Linked DNA regions of Xenopus tropicalis. The protein of the gene in region 1 purifies or fractionates together with the protein of each later gene. This does not show direct contact. Links are inferred from orthologs where the notes say so. Each region holds a gene or a part of one and is shown in the gene's direction. Other genes may lie near its edges.

What was found.
Region 2: the proteins of racgap1 (region 1) and protein FAM98A purify together in Homo sapiens (co-immunoprecipitation; 3 studies listed by BioGRID and IntAct, with this or other methods). This does not show direct contact. The link is inferred for Xenopus tropicalis from reciprocal best matches to the Homo sapiens genes RACGAP1 and FAM98A.

The regions. Positions count from the first base shown.
Region 1 is NC_030678.2:148,521,115-148,524,939, reverse strand, and holds part of racgap1 (rac GTPase-activating protein 1), read left to right. Parts: intron 1-1,032; 5' UTR 1,033-1,036; coding exon 1,037-1,121; intron 1,122-2,055; coding exon 2,056-2,258; intron 2,259-2,347; coding exon 2,348-2,487; intron 2,488-2,929; coding exon 2,930-2,999; intron 3,000-3,825.
Region 2 is NC_030681.2:46,829,712-46,834,022, reverse strand, and holds the start of protein FAM98A, read left to right. Parts: upstream 1-1,192; 5' UTR 1,193-1,415; coding exon 1,416-1,468; intron 1,469-4,252; coding exon 4,253-4,311. UniProt on the Homo sapiens protein: Positively stimulates PRMT1-induced protein arginine methylation. Involved in skeletal homeostasis. Positively regulates lysosome peripheral distribution and ruffled border formation in osteoclasts.

The DNA.
Region 1 (3,825 bases):
GTCTCTTCTTAGGTCCCGCAGCTGCAGATCTTTTATTAGGTTGCGCCCCGTGCGTGCTGACGTGACACGTACGCACAGGGCGCAACCAATAAAATTACCCGCTGACCACCAATGAGCCAAGGGCCTGTAACTCTTTAAAGGGGCCCGTGCTTAAAAACTGTATCGCTGCCAGGTCCGTCTGAGTGTTGCTGGGTTTGAAAAACACAGGAATGCGATTGAAAAATTTGATTTTTTTTCTTATGTTCCAGCAACATATGGGATGACTATGTTGCTTTGCCTTCTATGTTCCACCCCTCTGTTGGTCTGGTCCTTTTGCTTGACTTTGGTTTTGTTTTAACAAAAGCCCAGTCTGGCTACAAGCTTTCAGAGCTTCTTTTATGCAGCTTGGTTACTATCAAGGAAGCATAAGGTACTGTTTTATTAGGGAAAAAGAAAATCATTTTTAAAATAAGATTTATTTTCTTAAAATAAGGAGGCTGACTTCTGTAATTTGAGCCTGTATACCTGTAGTTTTTTTTTTTTTTTATATATCCATAAGGTTAAATGTGCTATGTGTGTTATGGTCGTAGGCACATAAGTTTTTGTGCTGTTTCTGTAAATATTTTTGTTTCGTATAATTTTTTTTAGGCATTTTTGCTTGGTTTTGTACTAGTTTTTAAGATGTATGGTGTTTATATGCAAGTTTACATTGTAGAAGTTTGTGTATAACCGTCTGTCTGCCTATCTTTCATTTTGCTTGGATATGAGCCTTTTAGAACTTTATGGTTGAGCTTTCTTGATAATTTTGGCCAATTAGCAAGGTATATGATGGGTTTGCTGGAGTTGTGAAAAAGTAGTTTTCAGTTGCTGTTTTAATGGCTTAAAGTGTAGTAGCATACTTGTATATATGGTTTTTACATGTCTGTATTTATGTAAACAGTCCCTGCAAATCTCCCTTGGTCAAAATGTGCTCCCAGAACTTTCGAGTCGAGCACTGCTCCACCTATTGATGCTCCAAGTTGTGATTTTCTACTAATCGACAATTCTTTGCAGGAAGATGGCGACAAACCTGATGAACCTACGCAATCTTTTTGAGCAATTAATGCGGCAAGTAGATGGCCTGAATGAGGGTATAGAGCCACGTAAGTATGCATCCCAAGATGGAAGCTTTGCTGTCTCTGCATATTAGAACTTCGGCTTTGTTGGCTGTAACGTTATTCAATCTTCATGGTAATATAACAGTCGGTTAGCTGAATTTCTTTGTTTGTGGTGGTGTGACCCCCCCATACTGATTTGATTAGTACTGCCTCATTTTAAAACTGGGCACCAAAATGTTGCAAATGTTAGGCACCTCTTAGTGCTTATAATCGCTCACCTAATACCCCGGGCCAGTCTGGGGTACTCCAAAGCAAGCACCATGGGACAATCATTGTCTTCTGTTTCTTTATTCTTCAGTGGCCCAGGCCAGGACACGTGCAGTATAGTGAAAAAGCTGCCCTTCTCCTTTTAAAGTTTGCCTTTTCACTCTACTGCACATGTGCACCCAATGCGAAGGTAAAAATATTGCTCCACATTGCTCGCTCGGAAGGCTGGTATAGTTTTCTGCCAACAGAAGCACCAGCCGGGAGTATCTGGCTTCCCAGCCCTCTGATTTTGCATATTCTTCTGTAAATCTCCCCCCCCCCCCCCCCCCCCAAAAAAAATGACAGAACATGCTCATGTCGATCAGCTTTTTTGAAAACATACATTTTTGTCATAGTATTAACTTTACAGGAAATTTTCCAAAAAATAACTGTAAACTGATATTTCACTTTTAAACTAAATTTATATTGCGTTTCTGTCTAACTTGTATGAGCTAGACATCCTAAATTGCGAGTAAATATAATTGGAAATGCCAACACACTAAAATCAAACCTTTCTTCCTGGAGAGCAATTGATTGTTTGGAACTTAAAAGCGTTCTAGTTTGACAGTATAGCCCTAGGCACAGTTCACGTGTGGTTTTATTTGTGAGTGGTATTGTCATGCTCTTTCTGAATGGTAGAGATCAATCATTGCCTTTTCTCCCTATTCCTTAGAGTTTATTCAGCTGGCTAAGAATTTTGAAGACTTTCGAAGAAAATGGCAAAAATCTGAGCAAGAACTGATAAAAAATAAAGAAATGCTGATGAAGACTGAAACTGAGCGCAGTGCGCTGGAAGTTAAGCTAAAGCATGCACGCAATCAGGTGGATGTGGAGATAAAGAGGAGACAACGTGCAGAGGTGGAATGTGAAAAACTGGTGAGATTGGAGAATTTGTGTGCGACAGTTTTGGGGGAGACAAGACATCAACCTGTGCTGTTAGTAACACCTGTTTTGTCTTATGGTAGGAACGACAAATACAGCTGATACGGGAACTGCTAATGTGTGATCCATCTGGCAGCATTCAGCTCAGTGAGCAGCAAAGAAGTGCTTTAGCTTTTCTTAATAACAGGACTCAAATGTCCGCTGATGGAAATGGCACTAGGAGGTAAATATGAAGCCAGTAACTGCGCCTTGGACTATTGCATGCATAACTGTATTGTAGCAGCAGTAGTAATGCTGTCAAAAACATACAACTATTTTGTTGGCAGTTGAGGTAGCCGTACACGTCCAGGGCAGTTTTCAGCTTTCACCAATCTGTCCCGCCATCTGGGTGCATGTGGCAGTTTTGGAAGACCCCCCCCCGTCACATGGCAATTTACATGCCACTGTCCATTCTTATAACTGAAATATGCAAATCCACATATTAATAAGCACACTTGAACATTATTACTATACACAGTGCATGTATATGTAAAATCTGCTATTAAATACAGAATTGTTGCTACTGAGCTGTAGCAAGAACTAGCTTATAGCTGTGCAAAAATTCAAGTTTAATTCTACATTGCAATGCGTTAGCTAATTTTCCCTGATTCCTCACATTTGTTTAGGCTCTCAACAATAGATGAATCTGCTTCCATTCTCTCAGACATCAGCTTTGACAAGACTGAAGACTCATTGGTAATAAGCCATATATTTTTTAAGGCATTGTTTAAGGCCATTTTGTTTTGGTAGATAGGGATTATGTCAAAGCTGCCTTGGTTTTTATTTTAAAAAATTGTCTTGATCTAACTCCACTATACGGGGTGATGTACGTTAATAGTGTTGGGCAAATTTTTTTACTGTGATGCTTTTAGATGTAATCAGAGGGATACACACTATCATTTGCTTATGTCAAACATGGTGGTTGTTTTTTTCTGGACTCTTATGTGGTGCCATCATAGGAACTGAAGTTTCTTCCAAAGCTGTTCATTATCCCTGAATGGCAAAGATCTGCCCCAGCAAGTCCTTAGGGCAGTGACGCACAGAGATTTGTAGTTAGCGGTATTTTATTTATTTATTTTTTAATTTGAATGCTGGCTCAATCTCCCAACTTGTCCTTGCCCTTAGATTTAAATAAGCCAAGTCTGAAAGGCGTTGTTAGGTTCTTTAGCCATTGAGCCAGGAAACTGTCTCTTAGATATTCAAGATGCGTTTGCGTGTATGTTTGCTACTCTTTCCATCTTTTCCATATATCCTATTTGAGTGTCAATGTTAGTCATTTGTAGCTGTAGGCTAATCATGCGGATTCCATGTTTAGATGACCACCTGGATTATTATGCCTGATGGCAGGTCCTGAGATCATTTTTGTTTATACAGGCTACAGTGTAGAATGCTGTTTAGTGGCAGGCTGCGGTATTCACACTAGTTTGTGTTCCTACTCTGGCCATTTGCCAGGAAATTGGTTTCTAGAGGATAAAAGATGATGGTGGAGATGTGGTCTGGTAATGGTGATATGATGATCTGA
Region 2 (4,311 bases), on another chromosome or scaffold:
CAATACAGAATCTTTACCCCTCCAGCCAGACCCTGAGTGGTATCATCTTCCTTCGGAGGGTGTGCACATAAAACATACAGATTACACACAAATTGCGATTGATACAGTAGGTTGAGACCTGCTCATTAGAGTTTACAATATATTAAAAGAAACACTGCATAGTACACATATTTCAGTTTCAGAAAAACATGTCACACACAGCAGAGATATTATTTATGGAGTGGGCAATACAAACAATAACTTCTTACAGAAGCAGATACACAATATTGCATTGCGCAGTTTTTGATAATAGGGGCTTCAGACTAGGTTCCCAGGGCCCACCAGTAAGCCTTACATTACATTCCCACGCTTCCCCTTATTATCCCCCTTAGTCAGCTTTTTTATGGTCCTACTCCCATATTTATACATACTACACTTCCCTCGTTGCCCACTTTCCCCGTATGGTTAATAATCAATATATAGAAATCCAAGGCTAATGGTTGGGCGGGTAGATGGCCCACTGACGTCTGGTCCGTCGGCCTATCCAGCATTGAATAGGGGACTCTATAAATATAGCTTTCCGACCAAAGGCATTAGGGTTACAGTAATTATCTAGGCTCAAACTGGGCATATGGCATCTGTCTCCGTAGTATTGGCTTGTACAGTATACTATAGCTCCAGAGTTGTAGAACTTAGCACATATAACGTCTATTTTAAACCCTTTTGAAAAACTTATTTGGAGAACTGCATCCACATATCCTGCAGAATATATTCCGTATGACATTGCGAGGAACCCCTCGCGTCCCACAGGATAAAACACTTTGCTGTTCCAAATAAAACTGAATTGGGCTCTTGCCATTGCTCCCCGGCGCCTTCAATAACTCTAATTCTGACAGCTACCCGACACGCCGGCCACGTGACCCCGCCGCTTCCTCTCCACATGGACTGCATTCGCTGGGGTCCTTCGCACAAATGGCTGTACCGTGATATTGCCGTACTTTTTTGCTGCTTTCATCTCCGCTTTGCATCAACTTATTTCTGTCAGATAACTTTGCAACATATATCAACTCCTGCCATGTAATCGCCGCCTCTTTATGAAAAGATTAACAAAAATAAAATACTGGATTGGGCAAGTTGAATAATCAGGCACCTAAATAGACAGTCCGATGACGGCAAAGAACAAGAGAAGGGAGGAGTTGGGGTCCTAGGGAATGCCAGCCGGGCAGCGTCTGGCAGCTGCTGAGGGAGGGGAGTCTCTGGGCAGGAGAGTGAGACCGTTCACACGTGGTCTCCGGTATCGGAAGAGCTGCCGCCTACGGCACCGAGTGACTGCTCTCCCCTCCCCAAGGCCGCCATTCCCCCCACCGGTCCTTTATCTGTGTTAGTGCGCGGTGTCGTCTTTGTGCAGCAGGTGTCACCACAGCATCGCTGACGTCATGGACTGCGACATCATGGAGAATGACATCTTGGAGGCTCTGGAGGATCTTGGGTATGGGATTTTTTTGAATGCTTAAACATTGCCTCCTGTTCTGTAATGGTCACTTTGTATTCTCCATCTCTGTAGCATGACAAACGTGTATATCTCTGGCTAGTAATCCGCAAGCATTTATTGGACCATGTTAAACAGCAGTGACAGCTCTTTGCCATACATTGGACTCTTACTTATACATATCTGATGACTGTATAGTATTGCACTCACATGTCATATCAGAAAAACTTTATGATCAAAATCTTTTTCACCTGATGACAACAGCAGCACAGGGCTGAATAAGCATAGGCTAATCCTAGCAGGCAGCAGCATATTTCTGCACATTTTTTAATGAGTTTCTTTAATTCAGAGCAACCACTTTTTTACTGATTTTTTTTTGAAACCACAGCTAGATTGGCATGATGTATAGGATGATTGCTCGCCTACATTTATTGATTACTCATAATTGCAAATTCTAAACAACCAGCTATGTGACTGCCAGGATTATGTTTTATAAAAGATGACTTGTTTTAAATTGGGTTTTGGAGTTTAGGCTTCTGTTTTAGATAAGAACTAACATTTTTGAACACAGATGGTTTTTTAACTGTTTAATATAAGAAAGTCAGTTGTAACTGATGTTATATTTGGGATGGAATTTATAATAATGTATCCCCTCTTTTGTCAAATAAAAAGGGCATTACATCCATAATCACTTAGGCCCAATGTTGCAGCCAAATGCTTTTATACAGGTCGCAGAACTCTTGAGATGACTTCTATAGTATTTTTTAACAAGGGGCATATTTATTTTTACAATGTAAAGGTGTGTTATGTAACAAGATTGAGGTCATAAGACTTTGTTTCACCAGAAATATAATTAACTTGGTGAATATAGATGAAAAGGTCCCGCTAAGCCTTGCAAGCCTTTCACTGTCGGAGGGTGCTGTGAATTTAAGCTGAAGAACAGAAAGAGTGCTATCTCATTTTAGAAATAATCCCAAGGAGTACATTATTCTTGCTAATATCAATGATATCACTGATATAATATAGTGAAATAGGTGTGTTGTGAGCCAAGGCCATATACATACATTTAATTTTAAGGTCTAAAAAAGCCATTGAGAATATACTGTATGTTTAGCAACCATAGGTAGTAAAAGGCACATTTGCCCAGGTGCCGTTACTCATAGCAACCAATAGAATGTTTGCTTTAAAACAGGTGACCAGTAAAAGCTACTTGCTGATTGGTTGCTATTAGTGACAAGCCAAATAGAAAACTTTGCACCTTTTATTATATAACCTGTTTGTTCTTTGGAGAATGCAGTCTTAATTTCTCTTATTGGTTTAATTTAAAGCTTTTAATAAGTTTAGTAACTGTGCCCATTACTGTGAGTCATCCAAAGAAACTTGTTTTCTATGTTTATGTGCTTCATGCTAAGACAAATCAACAAAGTGGATACTTCTTATTAGCTTGTATATTATTATCACTTGATTTGCTGTTTGGTATAGGGCATAGGGGAAATCAATTCAACAATCAAACTGCTGTGCAATATATAACATCATTGGTATATATTTATTTTGTATTAGATATCATACCACTAGTCTTAATGTCTTTATCTGTGGCCTGTAACCTTTTTCTCATTTTATTTTTACTCGATATATAGAGAGGTTAAGATTTCCCTATATATCTATTAGAAGCAAGCAGAATGCTTCTCTTTACTTGGCAATAGTGAAGTCCTTTTGTCTTTTTCTTTCTTAATCAGGGCCAGACATTTCCCTGAAGTAGGCAAGTAAATGGTTAAGGACCAGTAACACTAAATAAATGTAAAGGGTTTTCTGTTCATATTAAAATAATGTACTTTTCCCCTGCACTGATGCAAGTTATGTACCTGCGCCACAAACTATATTTTAGCCATGGGGCATTCAAGCTAAAATATGGCAAGGTAAAATGTTTACAAAGTAAATATTAAGTAAGCAGTGTAGAATACAATAGTTTAATTGTTAAGCAGTATGTTGAATTAATCATATTGGATTCTACAGACCTATAGAATGAAAGGTGTTTAAAAAAAAATGCCTGATGAATAGATAAAAACTAGTTATCCATCACATGAAAATTGTTTCCCCCATCTGAGGTGCAGAATAACAGAGCCTGCATTCCTGATAGGGGAAACAATAGTAGTTGTTTTGTTTTTTTTTTTTTTTTTGAAAAGCAGCCAAGCACCTTGGTCTACATATCCCCCAGTCCTATATCACATGTACTTGCAGATTATGCATATGCCCCTACAAGCATGCACAGCCCATTTCATATTCCCTTACAGCATTGTGATGGGATTAAGATCTATGCTTTGACTTGGCCATTCCTTGGTGCAGGCCCAAACTATAACATTTCCACCACCACGCTTTACGATTGGTATCAGGGACTTCTGGTGAAATGCTGTCTTTGGTTTTCACCAAACATGCCTTCTGGTACTGTGCCAAATAACTCTTAACGTTGCCTTGTCTCCCCAGAGCAAACACTGATTGATTTTTTTTCTGGACAGCAAAAGTTTTCCATGTAGCTATTTCTAGGTGCAGACTCATTCACTTAGTCGGGTGAGTTACTTATAGGTCCCATGATGAAATTCTGGCACTTCTTCCAGCACTGTGGACTACACAACATAAATGGTGCAGGATATTTGTTGTATCACCTTTATCGGTATTGTTGACAAGAATATCAAATATCTGTAGGTTGGAAAAGGACTCTTCTTGACTGAGCATATTTGTTTTATTTGACTGGTGCACACATTTTTAAAACCTTTTTGTTCTCAATAGGTATAAAGGATCTTTAATGGATGATGGAGCTTTAAACCAAGCAGTCTGCCAGGGTGCCC